4 linked regions of the Yarrowia lipolytica genome follow. The protein of the gene in region 1 binds, or shares a complex with, the protein of each later gene. Links are inferred from orthologs where the notes say so. Each region holds a gene or a part of one and is shown on either strand. Other genes may lie near its edges.

Region 1 (5,674 bases):
ATCTTCGTAACTTCACTCCACACACACACATACACCAACACAAACACACACACAATGTCTGCTGACCACGTCGATAACACCATCAAGAAGGACGCCTCCAAGGCTGGCGATGACTTCAAGAAGGGCTCTGAGAGCCTCGGAGATGACGTCAAGAAGGGCTGGGATGAGCTCAAGGAAGGCGCCTCGGACGCCCAGAAGAATCTCGGCAAGGAGAACGAGAAGATTCACGACACCTTCTCCGGCGATTTTGACAAGAAAGCCCACCAAGAGGGCGAGAAGCTCAAGGATGCTAACGAAAAGTGGACCCACGGAGTCCACGACAAGGCCGAAGACTTCAACAAGGACGTCAAGAACGAGTTCAACAAGGTTGAGAAGAACACCGAGCACGAGAACGAGAAGATCCGAGACACCTTTGACAGCAAGGGACAGCCCCACGGCACCTGGGACAACTTCAAGGAGGGTGCCTCCCATGCCCAATCTGATCTTGATTCTGCCAACAAGCGATTCACATCTGCCGTCGACGAGTCAAGCGAACATTTCGGCAAGGCCGTCAACAGTGCTTGGGACTCTCTCAAGAGTGGAGTCAATGGGCTGATTGGCGGAGAGAAGAAGTAACCAGTGCGCGGGTTTGAACATATATTATAGACAATGGAGTTACGGAATGAGGATATGGTTACGAGATAGTAGCAGAGAGAAAGCTACTTTTACATGACGAAGTGTTGTAAAAGTACAGTAGCTACAAGTACTGTAGAGTTCAATAATATTATCTGTATACATAAATAATCGGACGGCCATCTTACTCGGATGGACCTTGTCCTTGGTTTTGTCCCTGGGTCTGTCCCTGGTTCTGCTGTGCTGCTGCTGCTGCTGCTGCTGCTGCTGGTTCATTCGCATAAGCATGGCGTGCTGCTGGGCGGGGCTCTGACCTGGTGAAGCAGACCGTTGCTGCTGTTGCTGTTGGAGCTGTACGTTCATCAGTTGTGGCGATTGCATGTTCATGGGAGTCGAAGAACCCGAACGCATCTGAGGAGAGGGTTGTCCCTGGGGCTGTCCAGGACGCATCTGTCCCTGAGGAGGAGTCTGTCCCTGAGCCTGACGAGCTACTCGCTGCTGCTTCTGGACAAACCGCTGCACCTGCACATGCGCCAGCTTGGTGGCGGCCTCCAGAGACAAAGCAGGGTTTTGGTTCTGCAACTGGCGAATTAGAGCATTCAGATGCTCGTTGGGGGCAGCTGCCTGGGGACCTCCGGGTCGCATTCGCATGTTGGGACGCATCATCTGGGCCTGATTTCCAGCTTGGCCAGGAGGAACCTGTCCCTGTTGAGCAGGCATCTGGCCCTGAGGTATCTGGCCGGCCGGTCTCTGAGCCATACCAGCCTGACCGGCAGCCACCTGAGCGCCCTGGACGTTCTGGTTCACCTGTCCCTGCACCTGGCCTGGCTGAGGAGGCACCTGCCCCTGGGTTCGCATAAACTGCTGCTGCTGCTGTTGTTGCAGCATCTTCTGCTGCTCCATGAGCTGCCGCTGTCGATCAAACTGCATCATCTGGTGCTGGTCGTTCATCTGGCCAGGCATTCTGTTCATGCCCACACCAGCCATACGCTGCTGCATATGTCCAGAGGCGGCAGCAGCAGCTCGAGCCTGTGCCTGCGTGTGTGCCTGAATTTGAGCCGCGGTCTGAGGAGGAGGAGGTCGTTGACCGGGGAACTGACGGTTAGCAGGAATGTTAGAAGGTACCGGGGGCATCTGACCAGGCATCTGACCAGGCATCATCCGCTGCTGAGCGTAAGCCTTTGCGAGATTCTTATCCTGCTCAAACTTCATCTTGCACAGATCCAGAGGCGAAGCAATATCTTTCTTGTTGGACTCGGATAGCTGCGACTTTCGAGGCGGCTGAGGGTTAGGTCGGGGGGTAGTTTCTCGTTTTCGCATGCTCTTTCGAATACCGTCAAACATGGAAGCCCATCGCAGCTTCCGGTGACCTCTCTGGATAGACTCATTCGACACACCAAGAGGCGAGATGCGACGCTTGGACTGAGCCTGGGCTTTGGCAGCAGCGGCCATCCATTGCTGGGCAGCCTGAGCGTAGGGACCACGCAAATCCGTCAGAGAAAACGTCGGATTGAGCTGGAACCAACGCTCGAAGCACTGCCATGACGTACGTCTCTCAATGTTAGCTGTGAAGCCGTAAGTTTTTTGGGGCAGCATGTGGGCAGACACAATGTCCCAGTTGTAGGAATACTCCTTGACCAGTCGAAGAAGCTGTGAATCATCAGCCAATAACCACATTGTTGGCGTTCGGAAGTCGAGGTACTTGGTCTGTGGAGGCTGCGGCGCCTTAATGACGACATGTCGGCGCATGGTCTCCGAATTGAACAGTGTAGAACGAGTGTTAGATCGTAGAGGGAGAGTGTCCTCATCGGCAGGAGAGTCTTCAAGACATACCGACCACCAATCATCTTGCTCCGGGGGAGCCGCTAGAAGATGCGTGACAGGTGCGAGTTTTGAGTTGTCCAGAGGATCGCTGTAGGGAACCTGTAGAGCATTAACGGCAGAACCAGGAGGTGTAGTGACAGGGAGGTTGTCAAAGAGAGCCTTGGATAGAGGGTCCAGCTTGTCCACTGAGGCGTACAGCTTGAACGGAGAGCTCTCAGGAAGTTTAGGAGCAGCAGGTCGCTTGGGCACCTCCCCACCGACGACCTCTTCACTGTCTGTAGAAGGCTCTTCCGGCTTGTCTTCAGACTCCTCAGTCGATGACAGTGTCCTGGGTTGTGAGAGGAGAGTATCGTAGTCAACAACAGTGACAGAATCCGCTGCTGAGATGTTTGTCACCTCAACAGGGTTGATACTTGGTGGTGGCATGCTTGTATCAATGTCCATCTTGCTCTCTGTATCTTCAGACTCGTTAATTTCCTCTGGTAGGAACTTGATAGGCTTCGTCTTCACACAACAAGCTTCCTTACCGTACTTGTGGTACTCCAGCACGGAAAAGGCAATTTCACAAGCCATCGCCTGCTTGAATTTTCTCTCCTCCCGGAAATCCGTAGACATCCACTCCATTTCATCTAACACATGGTCCCAGTGTGTTTTCCGTCGGATAGGGTCCTGGAACCGCTTTGGCTGCCTGGGGCCCCATTTCCCTGCCCGCTTCAGCTCCTCTATACGAGCATGTGCTACTGCAAGCTTGCCCTCCAGCAACGCCAGATGGTAGGAGTCTGTGGTAAGTGTTTTGTGCGCCGACGGAATAAGCTTGGACAGTGGTAGGGTCTGTGTGGTGTAGTATAGCTCAGCGAGCGACTTAGTTTCTGTGGTGGGTTCGGGGATGTTGCTGGGCACCAGAAACAGCAGCATTTCCTGCAGTTGCTGCTCGTTTGTTTTGAGTGATGTGCGTGAGAATGTAGGTGACAGTTGCGCAATACTAGACGTACGTCGTCGCTTCAACTCTGGAGAAGAGCCTGCATCAGGTGTCGAGGTTTGAAGGGTCGGCACTGGCTTGGGCTCTTCGACCGCCTTTGGTAATTTGTTTTCGTCGAAAAGTCGGTTTTGTGTCAGGTCGAACTGGTCCTGGAACTGCTTCAGTTTCTGTTTGGCATCCAGACCTTGGGGGTACCGAGGGTGCAAGGAGACGTAGTATAGCTCTTCAAGCCGACGTTTACGCGTCGACACAATGTCTCCGCACGTCTCTTGCCGCGGGTCCATCATGCTGGTTGACGCTGAGAGAGTGAATACGCGGGAGTTATGGTGATGTAATTCACGTGATGGGCGAAAAAATGTACACGTTGTTCTCAGTTCGATTTTTAGGATTGTCTATTTTAGCAAAGCAATGGTAAATTGCTGAAACTGGAAGTTATAGCCAGACATGGCACTTACGTTCACAATAATAAGGCATATTTTTTATTTAGACGATCATTAATCACATATCTGACAAGTTGCTCACCCATCCTTCTTCAAGCTGCTGCTTATTAATGGACGTCGTCTGACAGCCCCAATGCACATCAATCTCGTCCACCAGTTTAAGATTCAAATAATTTACAACGGCTGGTCTGGATAGACTGAATTTGTGGATGGAATATCGCCTGTGGCAAAGAGAAGCAAGCCTATAATTTGACAGCCGTTATCTCGCAACATTATGGACGAGTTGTCAAGGGAGGCAGATGCGATTCTAGATGATGACAGTGTCCTGGAGGAGGACAAGATCGAGCTTTTGGAAGAGCTCGTGGTGAAACATCATGGAGAAATGTCTTCTAGCGAACGGGAGAGCATGGTGCTGGATCTCATGTGGAAACATCGTGAGAAGGAGGGCTCGGTCACACGTCACCGCAATGGTCATGGAGATGTGCGGATTGTGGGTGTCGACAAGTCCAAGAGCATCGACTGGGTCAAAATCCCAGAGGTGCTTCCAGAAATCGACTGGTCCAAAGTTGTGGACGACTACAAGAAGCGAGGCAAGGCCGTTCCCTTACGGGATAAGCTGCCTGAGGACGAGGAGGAGGTCTACTGGGAAGATTATGTGCCTGACAGTGAAGGTCATGTGGGGCATGGAGAGACCGATCTGGCACCTTTTGATCTTCTTAGAGCCGTGCTTGGAGGCAATTACTCCGATGAACTGATCCAGAACACACTGGAGAAGCACAACTACGACATCAATGTGGTTATTGTGGTGCTACAAAAGTACGACGACCGTTCAGGTTCTGAGCATGTGGAGGAAGAGGAGCAGGCCGCTCAGGTTTACGAGATGGAACATCATCAGGAAGTACACGATTACAGCGGCTACAACAACTACGAGGACCCCAGCATGTACGAGGAAGAGTACGATGAGGACGAGAAAGAGGTCTATGCGGCACTGGCTCTGTTGCCAGGAAGAGAGGAGAAGGTTCTCTGTAAGTACTTTGTGCAGTTTGGAGAGTGTTTGCGGGCAGATTGCAGATATTCCCATGATCTGACATCACGTGTGTGTCGATTTTGGGTCCGTGGCGCGTGCTTGAATGGCGAGACTTGTGCCTTCCTGCATTCCTTTCCAGAGACCGAGTCTACTCCAGAGCCCACAAAGCCTCTGGAGAACTTCTCCAAGCCCATGCTTGACTCCTTGGAAGATTTCCCCACTCTGGGAGGAGCAAGTGGAACAGCTAGTGACACAAAGTCCAAAAAAAGGGAGAAGCCAGGTAGCAAATGGGCAGCTGTGGCCAGTTCTAATGACACACAAACTGTTGCTGAGAAGCCCAAGAAGAGGTTTGATTTCAGCAAGGTGAAGCCTACTGAATCTTTTGTGCCTGGTACTGCTGGTGTCCCTTCTTTTGTGCCTAAGGCATTCACTCCTACAGCACCTAGTTTCACTCCTACCGCACCTAGTTTCACACCTGCCAAAATTTCGCCTGCCAAAGGACCGGCAGCTCGCATGGCTGTGCAAAAACACAACCCTCTGACTCTTCTTCGACCAGAATTCACTCCCTGGGTCGAGAACCCTCACCAGCTGGACGAACCTATTCAGGAGTACCTGCAGCTTCGAAAGGAGAGCAGAAAGCATATTGAGATGCGAAACAAGTATCTCAACCTTTCTGCCGATAACTGGCATATGAACCGACCTGATGCTGCCAAGATATACTCTAACAAGGGTCAGAAGCACCAGCAGGAACTCATTGCAGCCAGTAGAAAGGCCTCTGACATTCTCTACAAT
Region 2 (4,274 bases), on another chromosome or scaffold:
CGCCTCCCAGTTCAAGAGCACAACGATAATTAGGGGAGGGTTACAGTAACCGAAAACGAGGCTCAGGGGGAGTAATATCTGGAGTGTGAAAGAAGAATTGTTTCATTTTTGAAGCAGAGTTGAATCTGGCCAATCATATTTCGTTTATCCAGTTTCCAACTTGTTCCCCTGCTCACACCACTCATAACCTGTACAAGGCTATCTGAATAACTTGCATGAACATTTCAGCCGTCATAATCAGAGACTACAAGGAACTTGTAATCCACACATGCCTGTCGCCAAAGACCTGTTTCCAGAGTATGGTACTCTCGCGACCGGCGAAAATGAACCCTCTCGAAATATCCGACGTGCTCAAAAACTCAGGGAGTTCCAGAACCTCGAACTTCCACCATACCTAGCAAAGCAGGTGGCTGCCAAAATGGCAGAGAAGGGTTTGGCAGTGGAAGCCACAGGAGGTGTGGCAGTCCAGCGAATCGCAGGAGGATCTCAGAGCGGCCAGAAGGCTCTGATGGGAGCTTCTTCCTCGGCACTCACGAAACACACGCCCTCTGCAAGCCAACCAACTACACACGACAGTCTCACTAATCTCGGAGCCAACCTTACACAGTCGAAACCGGCGTGGCACGCACCATGGGAGATCTACAGAGTCATTACAGGCCATCAGGGCTGGGTGAGATCTGTTTGTGTTGAACCAGAGAACCAGTGGTTTGCTACAGGTTCTGCAGACAAGACTATCAAGATCTGGGATCTGGCTACAGGAAAATTGCGACTGACTCTCACAGGACACATTATGGGTGTTAGAGCATTGGGAGTGTCGCCACGACATCCTTACATGTTTTCGGGAGGTGAAGACAAGATGGTCAAGTGTTGGGATCTGGAAACTAACAAGGTCGTTCGACACTACCATGGCCATCTCTCTGCAGTCTACTCGCTGGACATTCATCCTACTCTGGATGTCCTAGTGTCTGCTGGTCGAGACGCTGTGGCCCGTGTGTGGGACATTCGTACTCGTGACCCTGTGGTTGTTCTCAGTGGACACAAGTCGACTATCAACAGAGTCAAGTTCCAGGCCTCTGAACCCCAGGTGATTACAGCTTCGGCAGATGAGACTGTGCGACTGTGGAACCTACAGGCCGGGAAGACCATGACAACGCTCACGCATCACAAGAAGAGTGTGCGAGGCCTCACTTTACATCCCGAGGAGTTCACTTTCTCCACGGCCTCTGCTAACTCCAGTAAGCAATGGAAGTGTCCCGAGGGCGATCTAGTGCTCAACTACGACGACCAGAACGCTATCATCAATACCCTGTCCGTTAACCAAGACAACGTCATGTTTTCGGGAGGCGACAACGGCTCTATTGGCTTTTATGACTGGAAGACTGGACATATGTTCCAGAGCACCCAGTCTATTCCCATCCCAGGATCTATCGAGAGTGAAAACGGTATTTTCGACTCCAGTTTCGACAAGACTGGTCTTCGCCTCATCACCTGTGAGGCTGACAAGAGCATCAAAATGTGGCGCGAGAAGCCCAATGCCACAGCAGAAAGTGATCCCGGTCTCGAATGGAAACCCAAGATATACCAGACCTATTAGAGGGATGGTGTATCAGAATTTCGCATATTTAATGTATTTTTAGTTACAAGTACAATTGTATTGGTTGGCGTTGTCATTCTTTTGTTTTGCTTTCCCTCCTTTTCAGCCTTCGCTCTACTTGTAGGCCAGTGGTACCAATACAGGCACAGTATATGGACCCAATTCCAGAACCATACTTATACAATTTTCATTTTTTTCCGGAAACATAAAAATGGATGGTCTCCAAATAAAAATGAAATAACAACTACATGTACATTGTACTTGTACAGTTGGATATATGTGTGTTTCACCAATATAATCGCAGATTTAATAACTGAATAATATCATATAACAAGACGATATTTCGTAAATTCCCCCCTACAGTAACTGGCACATTCCTGTCTCTATTAAGGTGGCTGTACTCATCTCCCAACATCACGTGACCATAACTATTTTCAGTTTATCAAAATTTTGTCGCCACCCGAACATCAACGAGCAATAGCGCGACGAAGCTATATAACACCCAGGCAGTTTACTGTCGCTCACAACACCTCCAAAGATGGCTCTCGCAGAAGCAGACTTGCCCAACGGCAAAACCAACGGCAAAGCCTCGGGGTCCGAGGAGACTCCTGCGCCCGTTCAGAAGGTCGACATGAACGTGGCAATCAACGAGCTCCGTGTGGGCTGCAAAGTCCACGTCGAGAAAGACGGTGAGGACCGAGTTGCTGAAATTCTCAGCGTGCAAATGAGACGTGGTAACCTCGAGTTCTATGTGCACTACGTCGAGTTCAACAAGCGTCTGGATGAGCGTATTGCGGCTACTCGAGTCGACTTGTCACAGGGTGTCATTTGGCCCGAGCCAGAGAAGCCCAAGAAGCCTCTCAGTGGTGCTGCAAAGGAGAGCAGCAAGGAGAAGAAGAAGAACCCCTCCAAGAAGCAGAAGCTCACAGATTCGGCTGCAACTACTCCTGGAGCCAATTCGGAAGATGTCATGGACCTGGACAACCTCCAGGTTAACGGCACCACCCAGGACCCCGACAATTTCAACCGTGACGAGGAGATTGAGAAGCTCAGAACTGGAGGAAGTATGACACAGAGCAGTCATGAGGTGGCTCGAGTTCGAAATTTACAGAGAATTGTTCTAGGCAATCATGTCATCGAACCGTGGTACTTTTCTCCCTATCCTATCGAGCTGACCGAAGAAGATGAAATCTACATTTGCGACTTTACCCTGTGTTATTTCGGGTCCAAGAAGCAGTTTGAGCGGTTCAGATCCAAATCCACTCTGAGACATCCTCCTGGGAACGAAATCTATCGAGATGAGGCAGTCAGTTTCTTCGAGATTGACGGCAGAAAGCAGAGAACATGGTGCCGAAACCTGTGTCTCCTTTCAAAGCTTTTCCTGGATCATAAGACTCTCTACTACGATGTGGACCCCTTCCTTTTCTACTGCATGACTCGACGAGATGAGAAGGGTCACCATCTGGTAGGATACTTTTCCAAGGAGAAGGAGTCTGCTGAGGGATACAATGTCGCTTGTATTCTCACACTGCCGCAATACCAGCGTCACGGTTATGGCCGCCTTCTTATTGACTTCTCATATGCCCTTTCCAAGGCTGAGGGCAAGACTGGTTCCCCAGAAAAGCCTCTTTCAGATCTGGGTCTGCTGTCATACCGAGCCTATTGGGCAGACACCATTATTGAGTTGCTCATGGAGAAGGGTAAGCAGGAGATGACAATCGAAGACATTGCCTCCGTGACCGCCATGACCACTACAGATGTGCTGCATACCCTGCAGACATACAACATGCTCAAGTACTACAAGGGCCAACACATCATTTGTTTGACAGACAGTGTGTGCGAAAAGTATGAAAAGATGCTCAAAAAGCGGCGCCGAAAGGTCAACTCGGAGCTCCTCAAGTGGAAGCCCCCCGTATTCACAGCTGCACAGCTGCGGTTTGCTTGGTAAAAAATCCGTCCTTATCAGCTGCAGTCAGGTATGGCGCAGAACAAAGAAGTGTGCCTCAACCGCACTTGTTCATATTTATTATCAGCTTGTCACCCGTTACAGGGCCAATGTCTTGCAATCATCTCAATATTTATATAATTGGAATCACAATGTATGTATTTTACTCATCCGGACACCCATACGCGATGGCAATCCACCACAGCTTCAAGATTTCCAAGAAAAAGGCCCTGCCACCGGCCAAGAGCAAGGCCACGCTACGACCCAAGTCCACCGAACCTGTTCCTGTTGCTGCCAATCCTCTCATCACCGCCTTTGAGGTCGACTTCAGCAATGACGGTCCTGTTGCTGACTTCCAATGGGACATTGAAACCATTGAGAAATCTCGGGTAGTCTTTCCTTTGGCTCCCGAGGCTTGGGAGACTACCTTTGCTGCTGTCCACGAGTCCGACACTACACAGACCACGCAACCCCCCTCGGAAGATGATACCACTCTGGAGATTACCGAGGAGAAAGTCGCGACCAAGATTGTCCCTCAGAAGTTCATTCCCGGATGGATGATGGTCGGTGATACCGGTGATTCCACAGATGTTGATCAGTCAGTCGACCCACCTCAATGTTTCGATTGGGTTGACTTGTTTTTCGAACCCAAGAGTGCAACAGAGTACGACCCACGGAACTTTTCCAGCCACTTCCAGGAGACTCTCAAGGTGTCGCAGGAGCTTTATACCCCCG
Region 3 (4,202 bases), about 2.3 Mb from region 1:
GAGCAGAAGGCCAGTGCCCAGTGGCTGCCTCGAAGCGCTCGACAGATGCAGCAGCGAGGTCTGGCGTTCAATGTGGCCCCTCTCAACATCCAGAAGAAGGAGAAGAAGGAGAAGAAGCCTGCTCTGTACTCCTCGTCTGTCATCGCCAAGACCCCCCATGCAGCTGTTGCCTCGGCCTCCTTCATGCCCACAGGCTCCATGCATCCCTCTGTAGTCACTGTGGACTCGTACGGATCGCTGGGCATCCATTCAATGCCTTCTGCTACTCCTTACAACACCGAGCCCGAGACACCCCGAACTCTCACAGCTCGAATGTCGGTCCAGAGCTTTGCTTCTACAGACATGTCTTCCGACTTCACAGAGGCAGATATGTCTTCTGCTTCGGACACTTCGCCTATGACCTCCCCTTCCATGGCATCAGCAGCCACCTTCCAGTCGTCTTACGACTCTCCAGTCAAAGCTTGCATTCCTGAGGCCCGTCCTGCCACTTATGAGACTAGTGTGAGCTCTTCTTTCATCCCCCCCTTGCAAATCAAGAAGCGGGTACCCTCTGGACCCCGGCCTGAAGGCTCGCATGTCCGACGACCTTCCCGGGAGTCTAGAAACATGCTTCCCGAGCTCGATCTTGATTTCGACTTTGGTTTGACGGCTTAAACCAAACTAGATTTCAACTTTTTTGACATTCACGCCTGCACCTCTCTTTTTATATATATAGTCTTTTTCTAAGCGCTTTTCTGTATTTATTGAATAAACAAAACGATTCCTTTCGCAAACTTGTGTCATTGTAGCACTTTACACCGTTACACCCACTGTTATACATGTATTGAGTAGTTAGCTAGCTATATGGTCAAACGTGATTAATCACCACCGACCAACGGCCTATGACAGATGATGTTGTCGGTAGGCCAGCTCGGAGGGAATCGCTGCGCGACTCTTTGCCTCGCTCTTCGTTTCTAACCCTAAAGACCCTTGGACAGAGCCTCGTATGCGGGCGAAGCATTTGTGTAAGCCTCCTTCAAAAAGTACGTTTTCTGGTGGGTCGACAGAAACCGCACAAAGTCCTCCAAGTGCTCCTTGAGCACCGCCACGCTTTGGGCATCCATGTTGGTCATAGCAATGAGCCCCGGGAGCGACACAAACAGCCGCAGCAGATGCTCCGCGCCGTAGACTTCGCTCATGGTCTTGTTGGAGTGGTCTGGGCTCTGGGTGATTTGTAGGTACTGCTCTCGCTCGAATCTGTAGAGCAAGATTGAGCCCAGCGAGCGATCAAAGTAGAGCTTGATTCCCGACACCACCTCGTTGAGAATATCGGCGTCGGCAGAGCCAGGTCTATATTTGGCCTCCGCCTCCTTTTTGAATTCCTTGAGAATGTCCACCACCGTCACCTTCCGGGGCAAGCCGACAAGCTGGTGGTCCTTGGTGACAAACTCCCAGTCGTCTACCAGCTGGGCCTTGAGCTTGTCGGGCACAACAAGCGCAATTTCCTTGCGTTTTAGATAGTCGTCTTCCTTCTCGAGGTCCTCCAGGGCAGCGAGTCCCCCTCGTCGTTTCACGGGACGGGGTCCCTCAGCAGGAGAGTCCTTTGATGCCATGGATTTGCGCTTTGTGGTTGGTGCCGGAGAGGCCGTTTCACTGAGCGCCTCGGGAGGAGCCAGGGCGTCAAAATCCTTGCCCTTCTTGGCCGCTGCTAGAGCCGCAGCCTTGAGCTCCTTCTGTAGCTTGATGTTGTCCTCGTTGAGAGCCAGTACCCGCTCCTCGCCGACCCACTCGTCCCACGTGTTTTTCCAGCCCTTGTAGTGCACGTAGTAGCAGATTTTGTCCTCGTTTTCGTCGGCCAGATCTGCGGGCACGTCAGGTTTCCCTTCCTTTGGACTAAAGTGTCGGTTTTTGTCGTTGGAGTCGTCTCCATCGGGCGTTGCGCCCGCAGCAGGAAGAGAGGCGCGAGGACCCCGCTTGCGCTTGTGAGTGTTGACCACGTTTCCGATCTCAACCGTGGGCGGAAGCCCGTCCTCCACCTTGGCCTTAGAGCCGCGTTTGGAGGGGTCGTAAGACATGAGGATCTTTGCTTCGTAGAGCAGCGGACCATGGTACGCCAGGCACCGCGAATTGGTGGCTAGAACCATGATTGCGGAGATTGTGTGTATGTGGGTTGGTGGTGAAGTAGGAGGAGCGTCCTAAAGTGGTGATATAGAGTTGGCGAGTTAGTAGCGCAAGTACGCGTGAAAAATACAACGAGAGGAGGAAGAAGGTGAGGTTGAGAGTGTATGGCGTGAGAAAAGAAACGAGAACGTTTTTTTTACCCGGTGGATGAGTGTGTTTTCAGCAAATATTAGTTTGTATACGCCGTTTCGATACTCCTAATCTGTGTGTCAGGGTTGTGGAAGAGTGAAAAACATGCGCTACTGTGTTGCTGTGTATTGGCGCAATGGCTACCTGGAGCTTTTGTTGTGTATTGAGATTGTCGGTTGAGCTGGTTATAGTAGCTTAAACAGCCCCCTGAGATCTTCTATCCTCTTTTTGAGGGCTCTGAGTGGTTCCCTACACTGCTCAAAAGTCATTCAAACGCTTAACTAAACCCAAGTAAATGATAACCTAAATAATTTACATAAACCAAGATATCTTGCAATATTTCTATATGGCTACAAGGTTTTTTTTATGTCATTTGAAAGAGACTCTTTGGTTACATGTTTTTATTTGACTCTTGTAACTCTCGTATAACTGGAACCTCGAATTTGAACCCCCAGCCGACTTTTTTCTTCAACTAATCCCAAGTAAAAAACAACCTTTTCTAAAAATCCTAAAAAAAGACGGTTGGTAGATTGTCAACTGAGCATCACAACCAGCGAAAACTTGCGGGGCGGGTTTAAGGGACCAATTGCATAGAGACATATTTTTAACATCATTAGCAACTATATAAATCCACCCATCGCCTACGATACTTTTTTCCAATCGTGACTACGAGTGTCGTGCCACCAATATGAAAGACTACGCCGCACGCATGACCCCACTTGGTTACTGTAGTAGTACTCCCAACCGTTGGTAAGGCGATACACCCCGACCATCTAACCTGAAAAGGCGCCTAAAATATCTTTTTTCAGCATGCACGAAGTCACAGTGGTAGGAGCGGGTCTTGTGGGCTGTCTGGCGGCTCTGGCATTCGCAGATCGCGGCCACAAGGTGGCGCTTTACGATGCTCGTCCTGATCTCCGGTCCGAGGCGGAGCTCAAAAACGCCTCGTTGCGATCCATTAACCTGGCTGTGTCTGCTCGAGGCATCGAGGCACTCAGATCTGTCGACACCAAGATGGCCGAGCGAGTGCTGGCCGACATTATCCCCATGTACGGTCGTATGATCCACGATCTCCAGGGAGGACAACATGCTCAGGCTTACGGCCTATGGGGCGAGTGTATCAACTCGATTGACCGAGCCCAGCTCAACCGAACCATGCTGGACGTGATTGAAGATAACGCCAACATCACCTTCTTCCCCGAGCACAAACTAACCAACATTTCGCTCAGCCGAAAGGACAAAAAGTACCAGCGACCGACATCGACTTTTGAGACCAAGGAGGGCGAAGAGAGGGTCGTGGAAAGTGACTACATTATTGGAGCAGATGGAGCCTTCAGCAAGACCAGAGATCGACTCCAGCGATACGTCCGAATGAACTACGCCCAGCAGTACATTGACTGTGTCTACCTGGAACTCAAGATCCCCAAGGCCGACGGACCCGATCCGTTTTCCATCTCGCCCAACCACCTGCACATTTGGCCCCGACACAAATACATGCTCATTGCACTGGCCAACGGTGATGGCTCGTTCACATCTACGCTGTTTGCTCCCCCGGCGCTCATGGAACAGGTGTGTGAATCCCAAAACACCTTCATTTCCTTCTTCAAGGAGCAGTTCCCAGACGCATACGAGCTGATGGGCGAGTCTCAGATTCTGGAGTCGTACGAAAACAACCCCCGGTCCCCCCTGGTGTCCCTTAAGTGCTCTCCTTATAATCACAAGGGCGAGTGTCTGCTCGTAGGCGACGCAGCCCACTGCATGGTTCCGTTCTACGGCCAGGGAATGAACGCCGGATTTGAAGACATCCGGGTGCTCATGGAGATTTTGGATGAAAAGAAATGGAACGTCGAGGAGGCCTTTAACACCTACACCGAGCGACGACACAAGGATCTTGTTGCTATTGTCGATCTCGC
Region 4 (4,324 bases), on another chromosome or scaffold:
CATGGCTCCTCAAACTATCAGTGCAACATGTACTCTCCCGAGCAGGCCGAGGAGGATCAGAAGAGCGTCAATGCTAAGCGAGAACAGCTTGACAGATATATGTTCTTTTACACGCGGTACAACAATCATCGAGACAGTGCCAAGCTGGACGAAAAGACGTACAAGAACATTACTAAGACAATGGAGACGCTGCAGAAGGAAGGCAAAATGACATGGCTGGAGTCGCGGTTCCTGCCATCGTCGTTCGAGATTCTCAGACAGTCTCGGCAGACGTTGCTGTGGACCTATGCGTTTGCATTTTTCTTGGACGCCCAGCCGGAGCGGGAAATCTTCCTCAAGAACCAGGAGGATCTTGAGCTGCACACCGAGGGGCTGTCAGAGCTGTTTGAGTACAAGTGGGACAGGATTCCGGGAGCCAAGGTCAACTTTCTGGACAAGTGCTCGTACCTCAAGTCCCGACGTCAGAAGCTTGTCGAGCATGTCATGAAGGGTATGGAGGAGCGCAACTGGAAGTTTTTGAACTGATCATGGGATTAAGCATTGAGATAACTGCAAATAGGAATAGCATATTTATTATTATCTGCACTGAACGAGGATGAATGGACCGTTCAGTTTTCGTAATGTGAACAATTTACTTATAGCGAGCTGAGGAAGAACGGGGCGGTTGTACGATACCATCGTACAAGCAGTAAACATGTATCTCTAGTTGTAGATATTACAGTACATACTGTATGATTAATCATGAAGAAAGTAAAAGTAGCCACTGCTGCGTACTACAAGGTATTGTACGCATGTACAGTATGTACATAGTGTACAAGTGTAAGTACAGTATGTACAGGATGTACCTATAGAATACCGACTGTGACAAGAACTTATTGCCATTAAATAATACATTCCATCTATACAATCTTAGTTCTAGTCCTTTACTTGAACCGCTTCTTTTCGACCAAATAGTCTCCTCCCTTCTCCTGCCACTCCTGTTTGCTGACCCACAGCTGATGGAACGATCCCAGGCTGCCCAAAACAGAACCGCCAATCCAAGCACCGTGTCGTCGCTCCTCCTGGTTGGAAGCAGCAGCAACTCGGACCTTAAGACCACTCAGGGCCTGGGTCACGTCCTTACTGACTCTATCACTGAGACCCTGAACCAGCGACCCTCCACCAGTGATAACAATGTTGTTAGCCAGGTGAGCCCTCACATCCACGTTGGAAGCGTTGATTGTGTCCACCACCATCTCACTGAGTCCCCGCGCAGTATCTGGCACAGTCTCTCCGTCAAAAGGGTACTCACTGGGCTTGAATAAGCTCTCAGAAGTAGACAGACGGTCTGCTCCGAAAGTTGTGCTGTAGCCCGTGGGGAACTCGAAGACCCGGTCGGCGGCTTCACCAGAGATTTCTGGAGTCAGGGGAACATCGTTCACCTGACACATGGAGTCCTTGAACTCAGAGAGAATACGAGACACCTGCAGATCAGTGAAGGAATGAGTGACGTTGGGAAGCTCCCGCTTGGTGAACACAGGTGGCTCACCCATCTCCACAGCCTTCTTGTTCTTAATCTCGAACCGAGGAGTGAGATCGATTCCTCGTGAAACAAGCACCTTTTTAATCTGTCTATCCAAATAGTCTCCAGCGTACTGTGACCGTCGCGCGGGCTTGTAAAGCACCAATCCATCAATGACAGGTGTCACAGAAGCCACTTCAGATCCTACATCCAGTACCAGTGCGTTTCCCTTTCCTGCAGCAAACGCAGAAGCCACAGCGTCCTTGACCAAGTACGATGCCGGGACCTCGAGGCTCTCGAACGCGATTTCAAGCGCCTTGAGCTTGTTGGCCTGCGTGTTCCAGCACGGCTCCGTCAGCATCAATGGGTGTGTCTTTGTGTCGGCATTGAGTCGAGCCAGCGAGTATTCCCAAATATTCTGCACCGCGTCCCAATCAGCCACAATCCCGTCGGTAAGAGGATGAAGCACCTCCATGTTGGGCAGTGGCAGATTGGCGGAGTCGCCAACCTTGTACTTGTTTAATTTTTTGGTTGTGTTGCTTGTATCGTCCTCCATCTCGACATCCTCGTCTGCCATCAGTCCACACTCTGTGGAAACCACCAGTTTGGGGGTATCTTCTCCGGCGTATCCGACTCGAGTGTACGACGACCCGGTGTCGATCACCAGGGTCGCCACCTCATCGCCTCCATACACCTGGGGGGCTGGAGCTGTTGTAGTCATGATGGGTGGTGTGTCGTCTTCAGATGGTAGTATGTATGGGGTACCAGTCTGTACGTGATATTTGATGGTGGAGAGTGTGACTGATCGTGCGTTCGAGTTTCGTTAATGCACGAAAATAACATTGGTTAGAGTTAATTAAGTCGAGGCCGAAACAAAAATTAACATGAGACTCAGTAGCACGAGACTACAGTTCGAAACGGCAACAAAAGGAGCAATTTCAAAGGCGAAAGCGCGAATATAATCTTCGAGACCGGCTGATCAAATATATTTCTCAAATCCCCACAATATCCCGTCTTGACAGTGACAAAACATTGTCCTCCATCCCAGGCACCTAGACAAACCTCCCAACAGGGTAAGGGCACCTGCACCCAATCAAAAGCCACCCTTGCTATTGCTGTTCCTCACCACACAAGGTCTGTACTGAACAGAAAAAAACCTCGACCAAACACACAATGATCAGAGCTACAGCCATGCACCGGTCAATTGTGCAGCGTCGCATGCTGAGCACCGCCTCTCGGCTCCAGCAGGCCGCCAAGCCCGCTACCGGCTCCACTGTTGGAACAGCCAATGGCGCCTCTGCTGCCTCGGGCAAGCCTCCCGGAGCCACCTTTGAGGGAGCCTCCAAGCAGAAGAAGAAGACTCACAAGTTCCGAAACTTTGTGCTGCTCTCCACCTTTGTCGGCGCCGGCGCCTTTGCCGGAGGTGTTTATTACTCCCTTCAGAACGACCAGTTCCAGAGCCTGTTTGTCGAGTACGTGCCCGCGGCCGAGCACGCCATCAACTACATTGAGGAGCAGCAGCTGCGATCCGGCCGACTCAAGATCGCGACTCCCACCTCCAAGCATGACGTTGACCAGTCCACCGTCCGAGTGCCCAAGTCCGGTGCTACCTGGCGAGCGGTCGACTCCACCGATGCTGCTACTTCTGCCAAGTCTGCATCTTCTCCCGCTGCCAACGTGGCCAAGGACGTCGCTTCCCCCGCTCCTGCTGCCACCGCCTCCCCTGTCTCTAGTGGTTCCCCCAAGACTGACAACACCACCGTGCCCGCTGTGCGACTGGCTAACGACTCTGACCCCGCCGTCAAGGCCGCCGTCCAGACCTTCAATGATCTGATCGCCGTGGCCCCCTCTGGTGCCGCCAAGCAGCTCTCCGCCAAGGTCTCCACCGTGGTCGACCAGCTGCAGCACAACGTGGCCCAGATCAAGTCTGAGGCCGCCGAGGAAGCTAAGAACTCCATCAACAAGCTCAACAGCGAGCTGGCCAAGCTCAAGGCTTCCACCGGCGAGGAAATCTCGTCTAAGGTGTCTGCCGCCGAGCAGCAGCTGCGAAACGAGTTTGCCGCTCTGCGAGCCCACTCTGAGAAGGTCTACCACGACCGTCTCCGAGTCGAGATTGAGGCCACCAAGTCCCTTGTTTCTTCTCACGCCAACAACCTGATTCAGGCCGTCGAGGCCGAGCGACAAAAGCAGTACGCCCAGGAGATTGCCGAGCGAGTCGAAACCGAGCGAGAGGGCCGTCTCTCCAAGCTCAAGGACCTCCAGACTTCCCTCACCCAGCTGCAGGACCTGGCTCTCAAGACCGAGCAGGCCGTTGACGCCTCCGGCCGAACCGCAGCTCTGCATCTTGCCATCGCTAAGCTCACCGGTGCTCTCAAGGGTTCCGAGCCCGTGGCCCTCGGCCCTTACGTCGAGTCCATCCGACGGGCTGCTGGTGACGATCCTCTGCTGCAGGCCGCTCTGGACTCTATTCCCGAGGTCGCTCAGACCGAGGGAGTTCTTACCCCTGCCCAGCTTACCATTCGATTCAAGCTGCTCGAGCCTGAGCTACGAAAGTCCTCTCTGGTTCCTGTTAACGCCGGTGTCGCCGGTCATCTGGGCTCCCTCATTTTCTCCTCTCTGCTGTTCAAGAAGAGCGGAGTGCCCAAGGGAGACGACGTCGAGAGTGTGCTTGCTCGAGCCAACATTGCTCTGGAGCAGGGCAAGCTATACGACGCCGTGGCTGAGGTCAACACTCTCAAGGGATGGCCCCGAAAGCTGGCCTCTGACTGGCTGGACGAGGGTCGACGACGAACCGAGATTGAGTTCCTCGCCGACGTCATTGCC

What was found.
Region 2: YALI1_D35907g (region 1) and YALI1_E05645g share a complex: the UniProt entries of both Saccharomyces cerevisiae proteins name them as parts of the nuA4 histone acetyltransferase complex. The link is inferred for Yarrowia lipolytica from reciprocal best matches to the Saccharomyces cerevisiae genes EAF1 and ESA1.
Region 3: YALI1_D35907g (region 1) and YALI1_D12483g share a complex: the UniProt entries of both Saccharomyces cerevisiae proteins name them as parts of the nuA4 histone acetyltransferase complex. The link is inferred for Yarrowia lipolytica from reciprocal best matches to the Saccharomyces cerevisiae genes EAF1 and EAF3.
Region 4: YALI1_D35907g (region 1) and YALI1_F34928g share a complex: the UniProt entries of both Saccharomyces cerevisiae proteins name them as parts of the nuA4 histone acetyltransferase complex. The link is inferred for Yarrowia lipolytica from reciprocal best matches to the Saccharomyces cerevisiae genes EAF1 and ARP4.

The regions. Positions count from the first base shown.
Region 1 is NC_090773.1:3,586,900-3,592,573, forward strand, and holds YALI1_D35907g (uncharacterized protein), read right to left. Parts: upstream 3,703-5,674; coding exon 655-3,702; downstream 1-654. Other genes in the region: YALI1_D35870g (uncharacterized protein), read left to right, coding at 55-615; YALI1_D35911g (uncharacterized protein), read left to right, coding at 4,130-5,674. UniProt on the Saccharomyces cerevisiae protein: Component of the NuA4 histone acetyltransferase complex which is involved in transcriptional activation of selected genes principally by acetylation of nucleosomal histone H4 and H2A. The NuA4 complex is also involved in DNA repair.
Region 2 is NC_090774.1:562,407-566,680, reverse strand, and holds YALI1_E05645g (uncharacterized protein), read left to right. Parts: upstream 1-2,132; coding exon 2,133-3,542; downstream 3,543-4,274. Other genes in the region: YALI1_E05664g (uncharacterized protein), read left to right, coding at 269-1,594; YALI1_E05630g (uncharacterized protein), read left to right, coding at 3,650-4,274. UniProt on the Saccharomyces cerevisiae protein: Catalytic component of the NuA4 histone acetyltransferase (HAT), a multiprotein complex involved in epigenetic transcriptional activation of selected genes principally by acetylation of nucleosomal histones H4, H3, H2B, H2A and H2A variant H2A.Z.
Region 3 is NC_090773.1:1,246,236-1,250,437, forward strand, and holds YALI1_D12483g (uncharacterized protein), read right to left. Parts: upstream 2,124-4,202; coding exon 960-2,123; downstream 1-959. Other genes in the region: YALI1_D12447g (uncharacterized protein), read left to right, coding at 1-654; YALI1_D12493g (uncharacterized protein), read left to right, coding at 3,100-4,202. UniProt on the Saccharomyces cerevisiae protein: Component of the NuA4 histone acetyltransferase complex which is involved in transcriptional activation of selected genes principally by acetylation of nucleosomal histone H4 and H2A. The NuA4 complex is also involved in DNA repair.
Region 4 is NC_090775.1:3,490,631-3,494,954, forward strand, and holds YALI1_F34928g (uncharacterized protein), read right to left. Parts: upstream 2,223-4,324; coding exon 924-2,222; downstream 1-923. Other genes in the region: YALI1_F34895g (uncharacterized protein), read left to right, coding at 1-525; YALI1_F34933g (uncharacterized protein), read left to right, coding at 2,675-4,324. UniProt on the Saccharomyces cerevisiae protein: Chromatin interaction component of the NuA4 histone acetyltransferase complex which is involved in transcriptional activation of selected genes principally by acetylation of nucleosomal histone H4 and H2A. The NuA4 complex is also involved in DNA repair.